4 linked regions of the Drosophila melanogaster genome follow. Changing the gene in region 1 together with any one later gene gives a genetic interaction. Each region holds a gene or a part of one and is shown in the gene's direction. Other genes may lie near its edges. The genes, in order: su(Hw), f, HIPP1 and abd-A.

Region 1 (6,428 bases):
CTAAACTAAGCGACGATTCCGGGGATCGGGCCAAGCCAAGCCAGGTCTACTACTCAAATACTCAAATGGGCAGTCGTTTGATACGCACAAGAAACTTGTTCAATCATTTCTTCGTCGCTTTCGGTTCTTATTTTTTTTATTTATTTTGTTTGTTGTCAGCTTCGATTAGAGCAGAACAATGATAAATATGAAGAATTGTCACCGGGCCGTGAACTGTGGAATTCGCACATGCCTCGGGGAGATTCGTTGCTCGCTCAGTTTTACATTCATAGATTGTCAGTCATAGTACACATTCATTTATAAATAAATAATGAAGACATTTGAATACAAGCGGGCTGACTTGATTAAGTTTATAACTATGAAATCTGGTTTTGCAGTTTATGTTGCCTAAATATGCAGCTTAACCTGCTAAATTTTATCATAAACCCGGAACACTTTCGTTGTTTTCTCAACTGCACTTGAACATTTGATCATTGAAATTAAGTAGTTTTGCCAAAACATATAGTAAGATGATACAGCAGTTTTCTCGCAATGAACTTATATATTTATTTTTAAGACTGAGCTATTTAAACATTTATACAAACCAAATCGAAGTTCTTGCAAGTGATTCAAAGTCATGCGGATCACATGCATTTTTTTTCAGTGCGAATGTTATTACATTAGGCGACAACCGAGAATGGAGCTGCACGTGGGATGTTTTTGCGGCATAGCCATGGGGGAATTCCAATTGTACGATTGCAAAGTGCCTTCGATTACTTAGGGCTACAATTAGAGGCAGATGGGTCGTCAGTTTCTACTCCGTCCAACGGTGGGTGCAGTTCTGGTTGGTGCACACGTAGTACAGTCGCATCTCCTCTTCGGCGCGACGAGTTTGCGCCTGGAAGAAGACCGCCTCCCGATGGGAGCACTTGGGACAAGCGTGGTCTTCGGTGCGCGGCAGCGTGGGATCGGAAATCACGTCGGGCACAATGTGGGTCAGCTCGTCGATCTCGTGCATAATCTTGTTCACGTAGATGCAGTTGGAGTCCGCCTCCTGTTTGTAATCGCAATTCCGGCAGGCGTACAGCAGGATCTTGTTCTCCTTGTCCTCCTTGGGGTACAGCATGTTGTTGCACTCCTGGCAGAACCGAATGCCCACGAATCCCGGCCCCTCAGTGTGTGCGGCATCAAAGGCAGTCGTCATGGCTATTGGCTTACAATTATTGCTAGTTAATTGCAATTTGTGAGTTAATGCGGCTTTTATTTACCTTTTTATCGTTGCAATTGGCGAAAGTGTGACCGTGGCAAGGCGGCTTAAATATACCGAGATCATGGGATAGGTATACCTCATTAACATACTAGCCTTTAACCCTTGTGAGCACTGCTATTTTAATTATATGCTTATATATTTTGTTTTTTATTTTATCAAAATGCATATTAAAGAATGCATTTATTTGTATTTTATTCAATTACTTTTTGTATAAAATGTTAAACCTGATAATTATCTTACCGAGCAACGGCTGCGGTGGCCTTCGACTGAAATTATATATAAATAGTGAAATGTTCCATATAAGCTTTATTGTTCGGATCATTAATCTATGCTTACAAAGTTAACCAATAAAAAGTTAATATAATATTAAGCCAGACACCGGCTATTTATTTTAAATTTATGTTGGAATTATTACAAATTTACAACCCAGAAGATTCAAAACAGAGGAAATTTCTTTGTACTTTTCATGGCGGCATGTTCAGATTATTTTTTCACGGGTTGTTGTAATTAATGGTATTTTCCAACCTACATGCAACGGTCACACTGAATTTTCATACACAAACGCTTGTCGTGTTGGAATTTAAAGCATAAAATTAGGTAAATTGTGATTTATTATCGGAAATGCGGTCAAAACCCTTTAAGGAACGCATCCCGTGATATGAGGACATGTTTGTGAAGCAAATACCTTAGCCAGTGACTTGATAATTTCACGCTCTTTATCGGCGATGGCAGTCACTTTCTTTCGCTGCGGAGCAGAAAAGTGCACTTCTAATCAGCAAAATAAGTGGTTAAAACCGATCCTCCACGTCCTTCGCCGGCACAAAATCACATTAAATATTTGAAAAGTATGCTACGGATTTGCGAGTGTATTAGAATTATTTGCTACCCCTTTGAAATACAATTTTATTTCAGAAGAAAACTTGTTGCGTTTTCTGTGCGTCAGGCGCAGGTAGTGTTGTCTCGCTCACACCAAGGCCGATCGATCGTAAAGATCGAACAGCGCGACGCCATTTTTTCTTAGCAGCTTTTGGGCGTGTGTTGGTGACGCTGGCAAAATGTGATGTTCAGTAAATCACGTGCCTAAAAGTAGACTAAAGCGGTCACTGGTTATCCTGATCCTGAATTATCATCCAATCGATCTTAATTGCAGGCTGGTATCACCAACATGAGTGCCTCCAAGGAGGGCAAGGAAAAGAAGGGCAAGCTGCTGGGTGTGGAAAACATTTCGCCGCCTAAGGACAAACGTCCCGCCACCAGGATGAAGCTCTTGAATGACGTGGGAGCTGGTGAGGATTCGGAGGCAAGCACTACTACTACCACATCAAGAACTCCCTCCAACAAGCAGGAGAAGCGTGGCAGTGTCGCTGGATCGCGCATCAAAATACTCAATGAAGAAATACTGGGCACTCCGAAAACTGAGAAACGGGGCGCCACAAAGAGCACAGCTCCGGCTGCTTCCACTGTGAAGATTCTGAACGAGAAAAAGACACCCAGTGCTACCGTGACAGCCGTGGAAACTACCAAGATCAAGACGTCTCCCAGTAAAAGAAAGAAAATGGAGCACTATGTACTTCAGGCTGTGAAATCAGAAAATACCAAGGCGGACACCACGGTTACCGTGGTCACCGAAGAAGATGACACCATTGATTTCATTCTAGCGGATGATGAGGAAGTAGTTCCGGGCAGAATAGAAAATAACAACGGCCAGGAGATCGTTGTCACCGAGGACGATGAGGATCTAGGGGAGGATGGTGATGAGGACGGTGAAGACTCCTCAGGCAAGGGCAACTCTAGCCAGACAAAGATCAAGGAGATCGTGGAGCATGTGTGTGGCAAATGCTACAAGACCTTCCGTCGCGTTCAGAGTCTGAAAAAGCATCTAGAGTTCTGTCGCTATGACAGTGGGTATCATTTGCGCAAAGCCGACATGCTTAAGAACCTGGAGAAGATCGAGAAGGATGCCGTGGTGATGGAGAAGAAGGACATATGCTTCTGCTGCAGCGAAAGTTACGACACCTTCCATGTAAGTCATAAAGATTGATACCAAGAGAAGTAAGCATAACTTTCGCATACCACATTTTCCTTTCAGCTGGGTCACATTAACTGTCCCGACTGCCCCAAGTCGTTTAAGACACAGACCAGTTACGAACGCCACATTTTCATCACTCACTCCGAGTTCAGCGATTTTCCTTGCTCCATTTGCAATGCCAACTTGCGCAGCGAGGCCTTGTTGGCGCTCCACGAGGAACAGCACAAGTCACGTGGCAAGCCGTATGCATGCAAGATCTGCGGCAAGGACTTCACCCGCTCGTACCACTTGAAGCGCCACCAGAAGTACTCATCGTGCTCATCGAACGAGACCGATACCATGAGCTGCAAGGTGTGCGATCGTGTCTTCTATCGGCTGGACAACCTGCGATCGCATTTGAAGCAGCATTTGGGTACACAGGTGGTTAAAAAGCCGGAGTACATGTGCCACACGTGCAAGAATTGTTTCTACAGCCTGTCCACGCTGAAGTAGGTTTTCTAATTGATTTTAAAAGACATAAAGTAATGTTCGGTATATTTTCGCAGCATTCACATACGCACTCATACGGGGGAGAAACCATTTGACTGCGATCTTTGCGACAAGAAGTTTTCTGCATTGGTGGCCCTTAAAAAGCATCGACGCTATCACACTGGCGAGAAACCATACAGTTGCACTGTGGTTAGTCTTAAAACTTCCGTAACTTTTCATTTAACCTATTGTAACAATGCGGTATTCTATTACCTTTTAGTGCAACCAAGCATTTGCCGTAAAGGAAGTGCTCAATCGTCACATGAAACGGCACACTGGAGAGCGTCCGCACAAGTGTGATGAATGTGGCAAGAGTTTTATCCAGGCCACCCAGCTGCGCACCCATTCCAAAACCCATATTCGCCCCTTTCCCTGTGAGCAATGCGACGAAAAATTCAAAACAGAGAAACAGTAAGATATTAAAAAACCTTTTATCTTTTCTGTTAGCCCTACTTACTTATTGCAATTTTGTTTCGCAGACTTGAGCGCCATGTGAAGACCCATTCTCGCACAAAACGCCCCGTCTTTTCCTGCGCCGAGTGCAAGCGTAATTTCCGCACTCCAGCATTGCTCAAGGAGCATATGGACGAGGGAAAACACAGCCGTAAGTTGGAATCGACAATTGGCAATAATCAAGGCTTTAATCCCGCTCCTACCCTTTGTAGCGAAACAACAACGGTCATCAATGCGATCGGCCGTCAAAATTATGGAACGCACGGATTGCGCCATTTGCGATAAGAACTTTGACAGCAGCGATACCCTGCGACGGCACATACGCACCGTTCACGAATGCGATCCGGATGACATTTTTGGCGTTGAGCCGCATCCATCAAAGCGGGCAAAGAAGGACATCGAATCGGAGGAGGTTGTACCAGTGGCGTTAAACACATCGGCGGGCTCGTTAATTTCTAGCCAAACGGACGGGAATGGCGTTGTGGTGCGTGAATTCCTCGTGGACGAAGGCGATGGCGCGGCCCAGACCATTACACTAGAAAACGAAACATACACAATTCTGCCCCTGGACGGGGCCATCGAGGGAGAGCAGCTGACGGATGAGGCTGGCGTTAAGCCCGAGGCGAAGAAGGAGGAGGCGCAGGTCTCGCCGGTGGTAAAGAAAGAGCAGCGTAAATCCCTGGCCGCCAGTCTGGCCGCTGCCATCGCAGATAATTTGGAAGAATCATGTAGCGAGGATGACTTCAGTGGCGAAATTCTAACTGAGGAGGACATAAAGCTCAAAGAGAATGTGGGTAAACTTATTGATATGCTAGTGGATCCACCGATCCTAAAGAAATACGGCTGGCCCAATGCCCCCGAGGAGACGGTGCTCTGCAAAGTGATCGAGAACTGTGGCCACGACCTAACCAAAGGTGGCGAAAACTACGCTGAGCTTGACTACGGTAGCCGCATGCGAGAGTACTGCAAACTGCTCTTTACCGTGGTCATTCACAACGATTCCATCAAGTCGCTGCTCAATAATTTCCCCATCGACGATGTGATCGAATATGTACTGGGAGATGAGGATCAGGACGAAGGTGGATTGGACAAAGACAATGAGTCACATTCAGGTGATGAAGAAGCGGTGTCGGTCACAGGCGAAACTAAAACAAATGAAATCAGAGAGAAACCGGAAAAGAAGGAAGTTTCGGCGAAATCTGAAAAGAAGGAGATCGTGGGGAAAGCTGTGGATAAGGATAACTCAGAGGAGGTGGTCCGGGAAAATAAGAAAAAACCTGTAGGCGAACAAGAGAAAGCTTGATTTTCCAGCCCTTGATGCATGCGTACAATTACCGCACAAAAACCATATTCTAGGAATTGATCGTTGATGATTTTTACAACATTTGTATTTTTAAGATCGTTGGTTTTGGTACAAACACCAAGTGACCTTAAAAGAGAAACTTACCGTCTGTTGCTTGAATATTCAGACATCTTGCGCATTGACAAATTACCCAAAAACAAACAAACCAACATATTACATATCAAAGATATTTTGATATTATTATATAGATTTTATATATTTTTGAATTGAATGATGTTACCAAGCAATATATGCATGGCTATTTTTATAGTACTCTTATTAATTATAAAATATACAAATTCAATATTTTCGATAAAACTCTCTTGAATTTTTAACAATGCTTATTAATCCTCAATGCTTACTGTTCCATCATCAACTTCAGAATACGTGCGTTGTTTTGCAAGATCTTGTGGCGACTCTCGTCGATTAGCTCCCGGTACTCCGCAATGCTGGCTTGGATTTGCTGCAACTGATGCTGCAGGGGCTCCGTGGCAGATGCCGTGAGAGTCTGCTCCCTTTTTAGTTCCGTGGATGCCTGCGTGTAGGTGTCGCGCCACATCGTAAGCTCCAGCTGCATTGCATCAAAATCCTCGGGTATGCAGTCCAGTAGTTTACCCAGCGGACCTATCGACTTGGTGAGCTTTTGGACTACGTCGCGTACGTCGTTCACCTGGCGCGCAGAAGTTTGTCGGCCTGCCTGTGCTGGAGGCGGTTCCACTTCGGCGCCTTGATTGACCAGTTCCTTTTGCGTTTCCAAGATCTGCTGCACCAATCGTCCCTGGGCATCGAGCTGTCCTTCCAATGCCGGTTCGTCACCGCCACCTTCG
Region 2 (4,586 bases), on another chromosome or scaffold:
AAACTTCGATCAAGGCAAATGGAAAACGATGATGAAATTGGCCTTAAGTAGCTGAAATAATTATAAAGACTATTATGTACTATAACAAATATGTTTTACAAAAAATATTTACATATTTAAAATATTTACAAACGTAATTTTAAATAATTCTTTTTATAGTTATAGGATAAAATATATTATAACATCTTCAACAATTCATGAACAGATAAATAATAAAAATATTTTCCAATAGATCAACGTGAAATTATAGTTAAGAGATATGATTAATTCGTTTCAAGTATTGTTTTATGAACCTATATTTGTACTATATATGTGGACTATAAAAGGGCCTATTTCACTGTCGCAATTGTTGGTTAATTTGGCCAATACAATGCCAATGGCCCGATGCCGTCAATTAGCCGAGAATAGAATTGTGAACTCGAATTGCAGAATGGCCAGCAACAGCGGTGATAATACCAACAACTATGGGCTTTAGTTAATATTACTATGCATGCCAGTGTTGTTGTTTCTGTTGTTGCTGACGCGTGCTCAGCCGAGTGAAGCGACGTCGACGTCGACGCCGTCAGAGGGTTGCCCCAGAGCAGAGTTGACATGGCAGTGAGCGTGAAAAATAAATAAATAATACAATCAGAGGGGCAGCTAAGCCCGCGACTCTTCAATATTGAGCAAACGTTGAACGTGCACAGAGAGAAAATGCTAGCCTGAGTCCGGGCAAAGTGGATGTAAATCACCTTTAATAGCTTCAGTCCGAACCTGCTAGAAAGTGATTTAAAATGAGTGAAAAGTAAGATAAAAATTAAAATGTTTAAATACGAAAATAAACTTGCAAATAAAAAGCAGTAAAGTCATACAATAAATCTAAGTTTTAGAAGTAGACCGTTAGTGAATAATTGAACAGTTTTACAAGTTGTCGATCCTGTCACACTTGAAATAAATAACTAAAGAAATAGGTATTAAATGACGCAGAAGTCACTCAAGTTCCTATTTAAAAAGGTAAAATGTTTTTTAAAAGTAAATTTGTTTTCATTTTGTTTTGAAAAATATGGTCATTTAGATTGTAAATATTGTATTTAATTTTTTTTTATTTGCAAAATTACAATTATTACTATTATTAAGAGTATTCATTATAGTTAAGTGTGTTAAAATTAATAAAAAAAAATTTAAGTAGATATTAAATGGGCATTTGCAATATTTGTAGCTGCGTGTAGCTGCGGCAGCAGTGGCATATCGGCAAACAAAGCGGCACCAACAACACCAGCAGCTCCAACAAAACAGCCCATAATCACAATTACAATAACAAAAACATTTACATCAACAATAACAATAACAATAACAGAGAAGAGCAGCAACAGAAAACTCTTAATCATGAGTGGCGTTTGGCTGGCAGCGCAGCTGGCGCAACGTTTTTGCATAGGAATCCGACTGCGGATTTTGAAGTTGTATCTTTTTTGGCCAGCGAACATTTGCGTCGCCGGCGTCACGGAGCGCGGACGCGACAAACGCGACATTGCCGAGCGGAAACCGGAAAACGAGCGGGTTTTCAGAAAATCAGAAACAGAACGCAATCAGTGACATAAAGTCAACTAGTTCGGGAATTTGGGGGAACGAATTTTCGGGGTGGGAACGAACGTACAAATACGTATATAGAACCAAAACCAGAAGAGGAACAAGCCACGAAACGAATCCAATGGCCAGTTGTGCGCCGGTGATCGTGTGGAACGGTGCTCAGTTTACGGCCAGCAGCAGGGAGCTGGAGCAGCTGCGTCGCGATTACGGTCTGGATGCTCGGATGTTGGAGGCGACACTGGTGCCGCGATATAAACGCCACAAGCCGCAGGCAGCGGCACGGAATGATCACGTTCGTGTGACCAAGGAGCAGCAATCGGATTGGATCCTCAAGCAGGATCGCAGCACCAACGTCAGCCAGGTGAACTTCCATCCCTGGGCGGGTGCTCACTTCGACTTGGTGCCCTGGCGTCGCACGCGATCCGCTTTGGATTTGACAGCAGTGGAGGATTACAATCACGGTCTGGTCGATCCCAAATCGCTGAAGGGTCTGGAGAAATTGGAGCTGAGACAGCAGCGCAGGAGGTTACAGCGCGCCAGGTCAACGCATCAGGGTCTCCGGCGATTGGTGCGCGTCCGCTTGATCTTCTCCATCGAGCTGCGGCACAAGCGGATGGAGGTGCTAAGGAAAAGTTCGCTGCCCGTGCGGGTTTTCGAGCAGCGCTTTGCCCTCTCGGAAAACGAGAGCGCCGCCTACGAGCGCATCCTGCTGGATGCCAATGCGGGAGTGGACCAACATGTGGGCTATTTTAGCAAGAGGCAAGTGGTTACATCCAACCGGGAATCCAACGAAGAGTTGGTGGTGGATTTCGCAAGCGAAACGGAGGCGGATGAGAAGGCAGATGAGCAGCCGGAAAAGGAGGAGGCCCAATATGCCACAATAGCTCCAGCGGAAAAAGGAGGCAGTGCAGCAGTGCCCGACAAGGAATCCGGCCAGGTGCCATGCGTCAAGTGCCGCGATATTGCCATCAAATTGAGGTAAAAGAAATCGCTAGAAAAAATAAACAAAAACGGCAAACCAGAACACAAATTAGCTGCAAAAATAGACGAGCGCCAAAATCAATTAGTTACAGTAATATGTCGATAAAGACTACAAACAAGTGCAAATTCTACAATAATATGGGAGTGCAAGAAATATCAATTTATTGACTATGGTTCTATATTTAGTGCTATATTTTTTTAAGTGCTACCCGAAATATTTGATATCAGTGCAACCTTTAAAAAATCTTTGGAAACTCGTATTATTATTTAATGAGTCTGTTGCCACGACAAAATCCGGGATGGGTATATAATTTATAGTTTTTACCCATCGGATTATGTGCGAACTTTTGGATCGAAAGCAGCTTGCAAATTTCCCACAAACTCTCCGGCTTTCCCATTTCATAAAAACCCACAGATCTTCATGAGTATAATTTCTTAAATGATTATTTTCTTCCGTTCTCTGTTCTTTCACTTTTTCCGAACTTTGACCATCCCCTTCCTCTCCCATACATATTTACTTAACTATTTATGTTTTTGTTTTGATGCTATGAACGAAAGGTTAATAGAAACAAACTCTAAAGTCTGTAGATTATTAAACTATTTGTATTGTTTAATACTCACTTAAAGCAGCTTGCCTTGAAAGGTTTATAATTTTGCTTTTTGAATTACAGTATTAACCGCATGGATGCGTTTGCCATGCTCATTAGTATCTTAGCCAAAAATATTTTGTATATAGGAGTATTGAGCAAATACATTTTTTAAATAGCTGCACGAATCAATAAGTCTAATGCGAACAGCCAATTGGAAATGTAAAATTTAGTTGTTTCACCTTTAAAATAAGTATTTACTTTCTGTTTACTTGAGTTATATCACGAGCCAGCGATCAAATGAAGCCAAAAAACAGAGGGCACCTCTTAACACCCTTAAAGATCATAATTTTCTTAACCCCCTTTGCCACTTCAGTTGACCAACTGGCCTGCAATGCTATTGCCAAATAGCTTATTTCACTTTTTTCTTTCTCAGCTAAATGTTTGTGAGTTTTGTCGGATTGTTAGCTTTGTTGGCTATGTTGGCTTTGTGGTTTTCGTGGGTTTCATGGGCTCGGTGGCACCTGCCCTGTTTTGTTGACACCTGCTACCGGCCCGCTTCCATTTTCCATTTGCCATTTGGTGTGTTCGGCGATGCCAGCGTTGATGCAATAAACTGGAAGAAAGTGTCGTCTTCGCGGCTTTCTGTTTCTTTTTGTTGCCACAAGAGGAAAGCAGCGACAAACGAGCAAAGACAAACGAGATCCATCCACAAATGCCCGGTATTTTCGCATTTTAATGCTGGCGGCGCTGCTTCTCAGCTTTCAATTAATGTGTCGCCGTGTGTATTGTTTCTCTTAGCATTATTATTATGATTGTTATTGTTTATTTGTGCCGCGGAAACGGCAATCAGGTGAGTCAGCAGCAGACTTGACCTGGTTTAGTGATTCGGAAAAGGGCACTCAGTGAATCCAAGTGCAGCCCAAGATGCGCACAAAGATGCCATCAAAATTAATAACCATCACTTCCCCCGGCCAATTAATTAATTAAAAGTTGTGCCTAAATGGCTGTCAAGCAAACAATTTAATAACAATGAGCAATTTTCGTGGGCTATATTGAACATGCTACTAGATTTGCAACAAGAGTAAAAAAAAAACAATTAGCTATTAGTAAAGAGAAAAATGAAATAAAAGTGAATTTTAAGGAAATTTGTAACTAATTTGCTTCGCAACAAAGGTAAACTTATATATTATTTAGTGTTCCTAGATATTAGTAAAAAGGAAGGCGTTAAATGAATTTCAATAATATATTAAATATTTAGTTTTAAAATTGTGTTGCACTTTCTTGGCAAGTTCGTGTCTTAAGTCCTTAGCTTAGTGTGTAAGTTTGTGTCTTAAGTCATTTGTTTGGGGTGCAGAAAAGTAGACTGCAATTGGAGATACAAAGCAAGCTGAAAAGTATGCAATATTTTTTCTCTGCTGACCCTTGTCAAAGGAGATCGGGAAATGAGAT
Region 3 (6,191 bases), on another chromosome or scaffold:
CCTGCTTCCAGTGCTTCAGATGGAAGAACGCGTAGGCCAACGCCTCCGAATCGCCGCGCTTCAAAATGTGCTCTGGCGGTAGAATAAGTCGCTTTGTCTCAAGCAGATACTTGGGCACATGCGGATTGAACTCCACCGCCCGATGAATGGCCTCAACGGCGCTCATTTCAGCTTGACTTAGACCTCGCTTGGATGCTATGTCTGGCGAAAACTTGTCGGCTACGGCGCGCGCCTTCAGCAGAGCAGCTGTATAGCAGATAGTCGCCGATTTCGGCAGCGAGATGTCATCGTACTTGGCCAGAATGGCATGGCAATCGGCGTAGGCCTGCATCTCCAGCAGCGTTTCGATTAGATTCTCGTGAATGTTCAGTACGCTCATGATCGAGGGTATCTCCTTGGTGAGATCGCGAAACATTTTAGCCGCCTCCTTCAGCTTGCCCAGCTTGCGGGCGCACATGGCAAGCCGTCGCTTGATATAGATCAGCACATTGGTGTCGCGCCGATGCATGCCATCCGCAATGGCGCCCTGGTGTTGGGTGGCCTGCGACTTGCGGTAGTTGATCTCGGCGACCTTTAGGGCCGTCTTCAGGATCTTCTCCGCCTCCATAATGGTCATGGCTTCCTCCTCGGCCAGCAGTATATAGGCAGGTGCACATTCCGCATTGATTTCCAGAGCACTGTGAGCGGACTTGATGCGCTGCATGGGATTGCGTTCGCGCCAGGCCGTCTGCATGATCTCATACTCCTCCTTGCGGGCATCGCCTTCGCAGGTAAAAAATGTTTGATGGTCCTGGGCACTTAAGTTCATGTCGTAGTAGGTCAACGGCTCCTTGCTGGTGGCCCAAAAGAATCTCTGGTACTCGGCGCCGCGAAATAGATTAAGTGGATTTCGCCAGACCTTACACTCGGGCATTTGGGTGCCCGTACTTGTGGTGGCGCTGCCACTGCCTGATGCCCCTGCTCCACCCGATCCTCCTCCGCCTGCTCCGCCATTGCTGCTGCTGCTGGAGCCACTGCTGCTGCTGCTGCCACTGCCATTGCTGGACTCTGATTGGCCATCGCTGCCATTTATCCAGGGGCTAATGTGGTTGATAGAGACTTGCTCTGCGAAACAGGGACAGTGAAACAGAATAAGAAGGAAGCGGAGGAAGGGGAACCCCACTACTCACCTATAAACGAAGTGCCATACTTCCGGAAATACCACCACTCAAAGATCAGGATCAGGCCCGAGATCAGGCTGGAGGTCCCTGTGAGCGCCACGTAGAACTTAGGCGTCAGAGTGCTGAGAAACATGGACGAATCCCACATCCTGCTGCCTGCTGCCCCCTGCCTGCGAAGTTCTGTATTCGACGCTCGTTTCGCTTTGGCCCCAGCTCCGTCCGGATTTTGCCGCTCTCCGGGATTAGCTTGTGCCTGGGGGTTCGCGGATACTCTGTGCTCTGGCACTGACCACCGCCGAGGGGTTAGATCAATTAACGGTTGCCTTTCTTGGCGCTATCCTTGCGCGTATCCTTGCTGCTGATGAGACTTTTTTCAATCAAGTATTCGAAAGGGGATGAGCGGGGGGTAAATACCAGCGCAACGTGACCGTTTCTCGTCGCCTTCTAAATGCCGCTGAACGTACTGGTCACTCTGAAAAGTTCTTGCGGGAAGACCTTTCAACTTCTTTCAGAAATATTCCACGCATGTATCTAAAGTCTATTGCATGGCCAAGAGATATACACATTTCCCACTGTTATCTATTATTACTTATATTTGTTTTAATAGTTTGGTTCTTATTTGTGCTCAACATATTTCGACAGTTATTTCTTACGATCACGCTAAGAACTTACTCTAATAGCAAATAATAACAAAACCGGTCATACATATTAAAATATATAAGCGAACTACCTGATATCTATTTAATGCTAATTGTTGTTTAAATTTAATGAAAAATGTAATTCTCGAACCATCCACTTTTTCCGATATTTTCACGCCTATCGATAGATCCACCTGCGCACCACTACAAAAAATGGCCGCTGAGCTGCAAGTGCACTTTTTTTTATAATAGACCAATCCGATTGAAACAAGCACGCAAAGCCCTTAATTTGGAACTCCTGTTGAACGGAAAGCCATCAGTGGGGCAGTGGAATCATGGAGCAGGTGTCGGATAGTGCGGTGACAACTCTGGAGTCAACCCAAGCAGAGGAGCCACCACCAGGAGTCGAAAAAGTTGAGACTCTAGAACTAAAAACGGCGGCGTTAGAAACACTCTCGGAAAGTGCGGGTCCCACTGATTTGGAGAATGAGCTGGCCAATCTCAACGGATCTGAAGAGGGTCCAGGCTTGGACGAGCTGAGCACTCTGGAGAGGGAGATAGCTAAGCTGCATAACATTCGACCGCCGGATGCGGCGTCCGAAGTTAAGGATTCCGACACACCAATTGCCTTAGCAGACAATGGTGGCTTAGAGCCCCGCCAGGCCCCAGATGAAGCTAAATGTCGAACCCCAATAATCGAAGAAGGCAACGCTGCCTCAGGCAACGGCCAGTCCAGCGAATCCCCCTTGGAAGAGGTAGATCTCATTGCCCTGCTCAAGGGGACGGATACCAGTCATGATCAGCCTACGGGAGAGGAAAAGTGCACATTGGAGAAGGCTCTCTCCGAGCTTGACGGCGTTGGAGAAGATGGGGATGTAGGTGTTACCATCGAGGGCGAAGGGCAGTTCGAAATCATGGAAATTGACGACGACGAGGGGGAGTCATCGAGTCGAAAAGCCAGCCCCAAGGTACCTGCGTCCAAGCCCATCAAATCTAACTCCTTGCCTTCTATATCCAAGCATAAGCTCTCCCCGGAACAAGCCAGAGCTGTTGCTCTGGAGCAGATGGCCGGTCTAAAGCCAAAGTCGCGTCGTAAGGAGCCGCCTGCGCCGCCTTCTGTGGTCGCGCCGATAGATATTGTCAGCTCGTTGAACGATGATTGGGACGACTACGACTCTGAGGAAGACAAGTCGGCTTCCGCGTTGGTGACAGAAGTTATAACTCTGCCTTCAGCACACGTAGTCACTAAGAAGCCACCTCTGCCTGTGAAAAAATTGTCATCCCCAGTTAAGCACAGCCCGAACTCGGCAATTTTGCTAAACAACAAGATCAGCGGAGTAAAAGTAATGTTAAAGACCGTGAGCCAAAAGCAACTTGCAGCCTCAACAGGGGCAGCAGCGGAAAAAACCAAGCCGACTGTCGTTGTGTCACCTCCCAAGGAAACCGAAGAGCATACTACGGGTACAGTAAAGTTGGAATTCATTAAATCATTGCTTACAAACTGAATTTTTAGGGTTCAAGCGTATGCGTGTAATTAAAAGGAAGATAATCTGGGACCCCGATGTACCAGAGACGAAAAAATCGTTTGCGCAGTATGCTAGCACGAAGGCGGCATGTCCAGCACCCACCACACCAAAAACAACTGTCAAAAGCATTTCGCCCACCACGACGACTAAGAAGGAGGTGGCACCCAAAAAACGGTCAGCTACACCTACTGCTCGGTCTACTAAAGCTGGCACTCCGGTCGGAGGAACAGAGCGGGGTCCCTCGCCCGTCAAACGACGCGCGCAAACTCCGAACACAGGTCTAGCCAATGGAGGAACTCAAAAAAAGAAAAAGGTCTCTGAGATCGATCGCCTGATGGGCGACGAGGGAGCTGCCAATATGATTCATGCAGTGGAGCATGAGCAGCGGGAATTGAGTGGTGGTGAGGTGTCCAATAAGCCGCTGATGCGGAAACGAGCGATGACCATAACCGGAAGGGTAAGTACTTCTACTATAGAAATCCGAGATACCTATTATCGATTATCGAATATTTATGATTTTCCAATACAAGAACCAGGCAGCACGAGTTGCTGTGGAACCAACACCGCCCAAAAAAGAGTCAGCACAATCGGCCGCCAAACGAACGCCTGCTGATTCTGTTTTTACTAAGGCCACCGCCAACACATCTGCCCGTAAGCCTCGCGCTTCCGACTCGTGGGACTATGTTTACAAACAGCGCGCCAGCGAGGAATCGATGATCATGCGTCGGCGCTCCAACAGCTCGTACTCCAGCAACGCTTCCGTAAGTCGAAATTCGCTGGACAATAGGCCCGGAGCAGCCAATCTGTCTGATGATGCAGGCGAGGGCTCGGACCCGTCATTTAAGTTTGTAAAGCCCGTAAGCAAGTCGAGCCAAAGGGGCGGTGAAGATACCTCCTCGCATACGCTGGCTAACGATATGAAGGCGAACAACGGTAGCGAACTGGTGTGCCTGCACAAGGTTAACAAAGTTGCTCACCTGGTCATCCACACGGAACGAGGAAACTTCGGCCATACGTACAGCAAGCAGCTGCTGGAGCAGTTGAACGACACACTGTCCAGTGTTGCCCGCAAAGGCGAATTCAACACGGTGTTGCTTACCGTCGAGGGTCCACAGTTTTGTCAGGGCATCGATTGCCAGGAACTGATACAGGGTTCCCTGGAGAAGCGAAAGGATAGTGCCAGTCAACTGGCTGTAGCCCTTAAGTAAGTAATTCAAATGTATCTTTGAGAAAAGGCTTATTAACGAAACCGTTACATTTTAGATGCTATCTACGCACTCTGGCCACATTTCCTAAACCCTTGGTGGCTGGCATTGTTGGCAGCCAGATTAATTTGGGCGTTATGCAGCTTCCCTTTGCTGACTACGTGGTGGCCTCTGATGATTGTAGCTTCGAGACTAACTATGCCAAATTGGGTCAGCTGCCCGAGGGCTATGCTCTGTGGCATGGTCACCAAAGAGTTTCCAGTGAAGTGGTAAATATTCAGTCTTTTATAAAGCTTATCTACAGCTCATCCCATGTATCGTTCAGCACTCGCGTTTGTTTCTTATGGGTGAAAGACTGTTCGCAACGGAACTTTTGGAATCGAATAGTTTCGTTGACAAGATCTGCAAGGCCAGAAATGTCAACGAAATGGCTCTGGCCAAAGCCAAACAGATATCCACTAGCTCTGCGGAGGTAAAGCGTAACATCTAGTGTTATTATTAGTTAACTTATATTGAAAATCCCACAGATGTATCGTACACTAAAGAAACTCAACCACTCCGCCGTCAATGTCACGAAATTCCCGCGTCTGGATGAGGAACTAAAGGTTATAGGAGAGCAATGGGTTACTGCCGATTGCTTAGCCAATTTCAAACGCTATCTTAACGACGTTGATTTTTAGAGCATTGATTTATAGTTACTGTATACCATTTGGGAATGGTAGACATTCATCCATACAAACCATATAAAGATTAATTCATACATTTAGTTGAGTCCTTTTAGGAGTTTTATTCTGGACCATGAGACTATCGCCCTAAGAATTTTTTTACTCCTACCCCATTGTAAAGTACGAACGCTGTGTAAATTGTAAGAAATTCGGAGGCAGGAGTTATATCCTGTTCTATTAGGATTTTAAAGGTAACTCGATTAGTTGAACGTGCTGGGATTGGAAAGTTTGCAAATTAAATTATCGCTTACACGTTTTAAATTCGAAATTTTATTTTCCGTCATCCGAAATTCCCAAATAGTTCACTTTTCAATCAAACAATGGAGTTTAAGATCCCATGCAATATATCTTGTGTTATATGAAAAAAATGTTAAGCCTCATAATAAATAAAATAAGATGAACAGCTCCCATAAACGGAACTTATCAATTGAAATCTATTTGTCGACTAATTTATTATGGGAGGCTAGAAAAGGTTTTTAATGTACAATGTAATGCACGCAACTAGTTTAAACTACTATTTATGATCGACAGCACGCTTCTGCTGGCTAAATGCTCTATAACTCAACTCAGTTCCTGATCGCCATCTGAATGCCCATCTAGTTGTTCTTGTGGTCCTCGAAGTAGGAAGGTAGCTCTGCTTGGAGGCGCAACAAACGGACGTAGGTCAGCAGTTTCCATTCGCTCAGCGGCTGATCCTCGGGATGCACGAAGGTGGACATGTATGTGACTAGCTCCTGAGATCCGTCCTGGTCGAGATCTGCGACAAGCATCGAGTGGTCCTGGTTGTTCAGATCCGGTTGGCACACCACCTCCTTGCGGTCGTGACGGCAAAACTGGACGATGTTGCTTCGCGAGGTGTTCTCAATGTGGGTATCGGCCCCCACGAAAACCACTAGCAGCACGGTTTCTGTAATCATGTTCATTTTGTAGCTTCCGC
Region 4 (4,615 bases), 2.5 Mb from region 1:
TTCCGATTCGGATTATACGATTATACGACTATACGACTGTAGTGCGGCAATACGATTCAGTTTCCGATTCGCCGTGTTTATTGTTCCGTTTCGGCCGCCGGCTTATTGTCACTTAAATGTTATAGATCGCGTAAAATATAATAAAATTGTGTGTGAAATTTAAAACCGAAAAAACTGTCAAAACACTATGGTTTATAACTCACTGTGTGCGGTTCGTAAAAATTAAAAAGACATAAAGTTGACATCGTAAAAAGGTTCTCGCCTCTCCGTTCCAGACTTCGATAGTTCTACCTGCAAAGTGTTTTATGACATTTTAAACAAAGTAATTAAAGCAAAACGTTGGGAGAAAGCATTTCTCCGGCCACACACACACTCACGCACTTGAGAAGTCGTTAAAAGCCGCAGGAAACTCACTCTGCCATAAAAATACAAGAGTGCCATTAAAAAAGATCGCGCGCCTATAAATCACACGTACGAAATCCCGCCGGCACGACGTCCATTCGAATTTCCGCGTAATTGATGACCGCATTTTAATTGCTTTTACAACAAATAAAAGATACACACACCCCAAACACACACATGCGACACACACACTTGTGCCACAGCTGCAAATACAACGCAACCCGAGACCATATGCAAATTTAACAAATTTCGTTGTGAATTCGCCAGCTTCGAGCGAAAAAAGTAACAGAAACAGAAAAGCTGCAAATACAAGCTGCTCGCCAAAAGTTCGCTAGAGAAAACTTGAGAAAGGTAACAAAATGCATTTCACTTCTCGGAATCGAGAAAAGTAGCTTAAAGTCGGGCAGCTGGCAAAGTTTCCGAATTCTGTCTCACTAACTCTATCTAAAAAGTACTAACTGTTGGCCATCTCATATAGTACTGTAAAAGTAACCCACATACTAACTCGTTGGCACTGGCAGGGAAATCTAGCTGAAAAATATATAAAGCATTTGGATTATATATTTTTTTCACTTGAGTTCTGTATCATGCTACCCGAAAGATTTATGTTCAATCCAAACATATTCAATTTGGTTAATGTTCTTTTTATGGTTTCCGAGTAATTTTTATAAACATGTTATATTTTTTGTTTTGCCATTTTTAATTCTTGTTTATCACATTGGACGCCAAGTTTATTTTTGTTTTTAGTACCTTTTAATTCGATTAATTTTGTTAGTGATTTATATACTAAGTCCAATGTAGTTTGCATTCGATTATGAAGTAGAAAAGTTAAATACAGAGACGGGAGATGTTCATTAAAGACAAGTAAATTTTAATAGACATTGATACAAATTAAATTGCTGTGTAAATCTTATGAAAAAGTTAAAGAAAAAGATATTTTTAAAATGCTATTTCTCACAGTGTTGAATTATAAAGTCATTCAAGTTTAAGATTTAGGTTGTGCTTACAGAAGTAGTCGGAACTTTTGTTTTATTATGGCTAGAAAGCGCTCCTCTCCACGCTGAATTCAAACAAAATTTGTTAAAGTCACACAAAGAGGAAACTTTAAATTATAAAACGAAATACTCAATCTAGCCATTAACCAAACGACTCAGATAAAGAACCCAAATCATTCGAACTCAGAAATCTCCGAAACTAAAATAGAACAACAAGTGGACTAAACGAAATTCCGAAGATCCGATCCTCGGCCAGAGAGCAAAATATGTGCAATGTCAAAATTTGTTTTCGATAGTATGCTGCCAAAGTATCCACAGTTCCAGCCGTTTATCAGTTCGCACCACTTAACCACCACCCCCCCGAATTCGTCATCTGCAGCAGTTGCCGCCGCCCTAGCCGCCGCCGCCGCCTCTGCATCCGCCAGCGTTTCAGCCAGCAGCAGCAGCAACAACAACAGCAGCAACACGATCGCTGGAAGCAACACAAGCAACACCAACAATAGCAGCAGCAGTCCAAGCAGCAGCAGCAACAACAACAGTAATCTCAATTTGAGCGGAGGATCCCTATCGCCGAGCCATTTGAGCCAACATCTGGGCCAATCGCCCCACTCACCCGTCTCCTCATCGTCGCCCTTCCAGCAGCACCACCCACAGGTGCAGCAGCAACACCTGAACCACCAGCAGCAGCAACATCTGCACCACCAGCAGCAGCAACACCACCACCAATACTCCTCGCTCTCGGCCGCTCTTCAGCTACAGCAGCAACAACACCACATTAGCAAACTAGCCGCCGCCGCAGTTGCCTCGCACGGACACGCCCACCAGCAACTGTTGCTAACGCCCCCGTCAGCGGGCAATTCTCAAGCGGGCGACAGCAGCTGCTCCCCATCGCCCTCGGCATCCGGTAGCTCCTCGCTACACCGCAGCCTCAACGACAACTCTCCCGGGTCCGCATCCGCGTCCGCCTCCGCATCCGCGGCCAGTTCCGTCGCTGCTGCTGCAGCCGCCGCCGCCGCTGCGGCTAGCTCCTCGTTTGCCATCCCCACCAGCAAGATGTATCCGTACGTGTCTAACCACCCTAGCAGCCATGGAGGGCTCTCCGGAATGGCCGGCTTCACCGGACTGGAGGATAAGTCGTGCAGGTAAGATAGATTGCCCTGTTTAAGTATGGGATAATGCAGATTTTTATAAATCGGGATGGGTTTTATGTCCAATCGTAGTAAAATGATCTTAAATGACCCTAATAGGAAGTGCAAATATAAAGTCAATGACAAATGATCTATACTATCTAATATGATATTCAAATATTTGGAGTGCATTGATAGAACTTCTCAGACAGTATCATATTTTAAAATATATGCAAATTTAGTATGACCATTAGCTTTACCTGGCTTCAAAACCTTTAAGAAGATGTTTCCGGGGTTGAAAATACAAAAAAAAAGAAACACTCAGCTCTTCCAAGAACTAATTTCGCGTGCTCTCAATTTGGCGAGCGGAAATGCCAGTCGAGACCTTCAGTAAAATCTGCAAACACTGCAAAACCGCAAATCCGTTTCGAATGCGCTCTAATTATCGGGTCTCGGATCCTGGGACTCTGTCCATTTTCCTCTCGGCCACCGGCCATTCATATTGAATGGCCATAAAGTCGGAAAATTAGAGCAGCCTGTGGTGGCCGCTGGCAATTTGTCGCCGGCCACAAGATTCGCACGCACGCTGACCTTCCGCTGCGGCCATTTGCATATTAGTACTACTGTATGGGCACTCCATGTGCATGTACAGTGAACCCTGCTGTGCGTGGGCGTGTTCGGGATTAGTGTGCAATTAGAGCTAACCGCAGTTTGGTGAAAGGGGCATGCAAATGGCCACCTCATTAGCATTTGACTTTAGTACGGGCGCTGGAGTTGGGAACGTACTATGAGAGCAGGGATCACCAACAATAATGGCTACTTTCTCTCTCCCACACCCACAGCAGGTACACGGACACTGTCATGAACAGCTACCAGTCGATGAGCGTACCTGCCTCGGCATCTGCACAGTTCGCTCAGTTCTATCAACATGCCACAGCCGCCGCATCCGCGGTATCCGCGGCCAGTGCCGGCGCGATCGGCGTGGACTCGCTGGGAAATGCCTGCACACAGCCCGCCTCCGGCGTGATGCCAGGGGCAGGGGGAGCGGGCGGAGCCGGTATCGCCGATCTGCCCAGGTATCCCTGGATGACGCTTACAGGTGAGTCAAAACTCGATACTCGATAGTGCGGAGATATATTATACATAAGTAAAAAAATAACTGCCAGATTCGGACTCTTTGTGAAAGACTTCGGATCTGAATGTGAGTGCCAAATTTGATAAATCTTGAAAGTTATCCGATTTTTAGAATTGAGAATCACACATATCCCAATACAAGTTTATCACACTGAGCCAATCAATCAGTCTTTTAAATTAAGAGTCTGTCTATCGTATCTACTGTGTTCTATATATCATGCCAATCATTATAAAATCAGAAATAATCCGTGCACTTCAGGGAATGTATATCGTCTTAAATCAAGAATAAATTGCCTTCAAGATCTACAAAGCGATCTCTTAAAATTTTTTGTGTACATATAAATCATGGCCACTTACACTGAAATCAAAAAATCAAATAAAAAATTGTAAGAACTTATATTGGATTGAATTATTTAGTCGCTATGTTAGGTTAAATACTATAATTAAAAAATTTAAACAGCTAAGTTGTTTAACAACCCGTAGACTTAAACCAGGTTCGAACTGATTTACAAATTGTATGACCTAACAAAAAGCGTCCAGTCGAATTATCGAATTAAATTTCCCAAGTGTAGTATTTGGAATGGTTGCTGCGTACCTTTTATAAACAATAGATAAACGTGGCGCAAACGTTCCCCAATAGCATTCCCATTTGCACCGCCATTTCGCCTACAATTCCAATTCGTAATGAACACTTTGCGGAGCACTTCCAAGTCGTTTATTTCGCATAAGTCTTCCAGGCGATTCGAATCCGTAAACGAAATGAACGAAGAGCTAAAAAGTTGGCAGTAAATAAAAATGAAAATAGTTTGAGAAATGCTTCTCTTGTCTGTCGTGTTATTTGGCGTCGATTTGTAATTTAAATAGCCTCAAGGTTGCCCCACACCGACAAACGTATAGCCCAAAATGCCGACCAAAAAACACTGCGATGTGCCCCGCGCATACAAAATCCACATATCC

What was found.
Region 2: of su(Hw) (region 1) and f, changing one suppresses a phenotype caused by changing the other (phenotypic suppression), as found in Drosophila melanogaster (2 studies listed by BioGRID).
Region 3: of su(Hw) (region 1) and HIPP1, changing one enhances a phenotype caused by changing the other (phenotypic enhancement), as found in Drosophila melanogaster (one study listed by BioGRID).
Region 4: of su(Hw) (region 1) and abd-A, changing one enhances a phenotype caused by changing the other (phenotypic enhancement), as found in Drosophila melanogaster (2 studies listed by BioGRID).

Annotation. Positions count from the first base shown.
Region 1 is NT_033777.3:14,303,942-14,310,369, reverse strand, and holds su(Hw) (suppressor of hairy wing), read left to right. Parts: upstream 1-1,780; 5' UTR 1,781-2,094; intron 2,095-2,161; exon of another isoform or gene 2,162-2,335; intron 2,336-2,399; 5' UTR 2,400-2,414; coding exon 2,415-3,272; intron 3,273-3,338; coding exon 3,339-3,766; intron 3,767-3,823; coding exon 3,824-3,956; intron 3,957-4,026; coding exon 4,027-4,217; intron 4,218-4,285; coding exon 4,286-4,410; intron 4,411-4,471; coding exon 4,472-5,562; 3' UTR 5,563-5,915; downstream 5,916-6,428. Other genes in the region: Polr2I (RNA polymerase II subunit I), read right to left, coding at 794-1,183; IFT54 (intraflagellar transport 54), read right to left, coding at 5,960-6,428. UniProt on the Drosophila melanogaster protein: Component of the gypsy chromatin insulator complex which is required for the function of the gypsy chromatin insulator and other endogenous chromatin insulators.
Region 2 is NC_004354.4:17,257,788-17,262,373, forward strand, and holds the start of f (forked), read left to right. Parts: upstream 1-1,586; 5' UTR 1,587-1,687; coding exon 1,688-2,544; intron 2,545-4,586.
Region 3 is NT_037436.4:20,807,670-20,813,860, forward strand, and holds HIPP1 (HP1 and insulator partner protein 1), read left to right. Parts: upstream 1-1,999; 5' UTR 2,000-2,133; coding exon 2,134-3,259; intron 3,260-3,311; coding exon 3,312-3,781; intron 3,782-3,854; coding exon 3,855-4,528; intron 4,529-4,587; coding exon 4,588-4,798; intron 4,799-4,854; coding exon 4,855-5,001; intron 5,002-5,056; coding exon 5,057-5,209; 3' UTR 5,210-5,663; downstream 5,664-6,191. Other genes in the region: CG3634 (uncharacterized protein), read right to left, coding at 1-1,104, 1,170-1,308; CG3618 (uncharacterized protein), read right to left, coding at 5,851-6,191.
Region 4 is NT_033777.3:16,825,059-16,829,673, reverse strand, and holds the start of abd-A (abdominal A), read left to right. Parts: upstream 1-1,568; 5' UTR 1,569-1,670; coding exon 1,671-2,539; intron 2,540-3,366; coding exon 3,367-3,623; intron 3,624-4,615. UniProt on the Drosophila melanogaster protein: Sequence-specific transcription factor which is part of a developmental regulatory system that provides cells with specific positional identities on the anterior-posterior axis. Required for segmental identity of the second through eighth abdominal segments.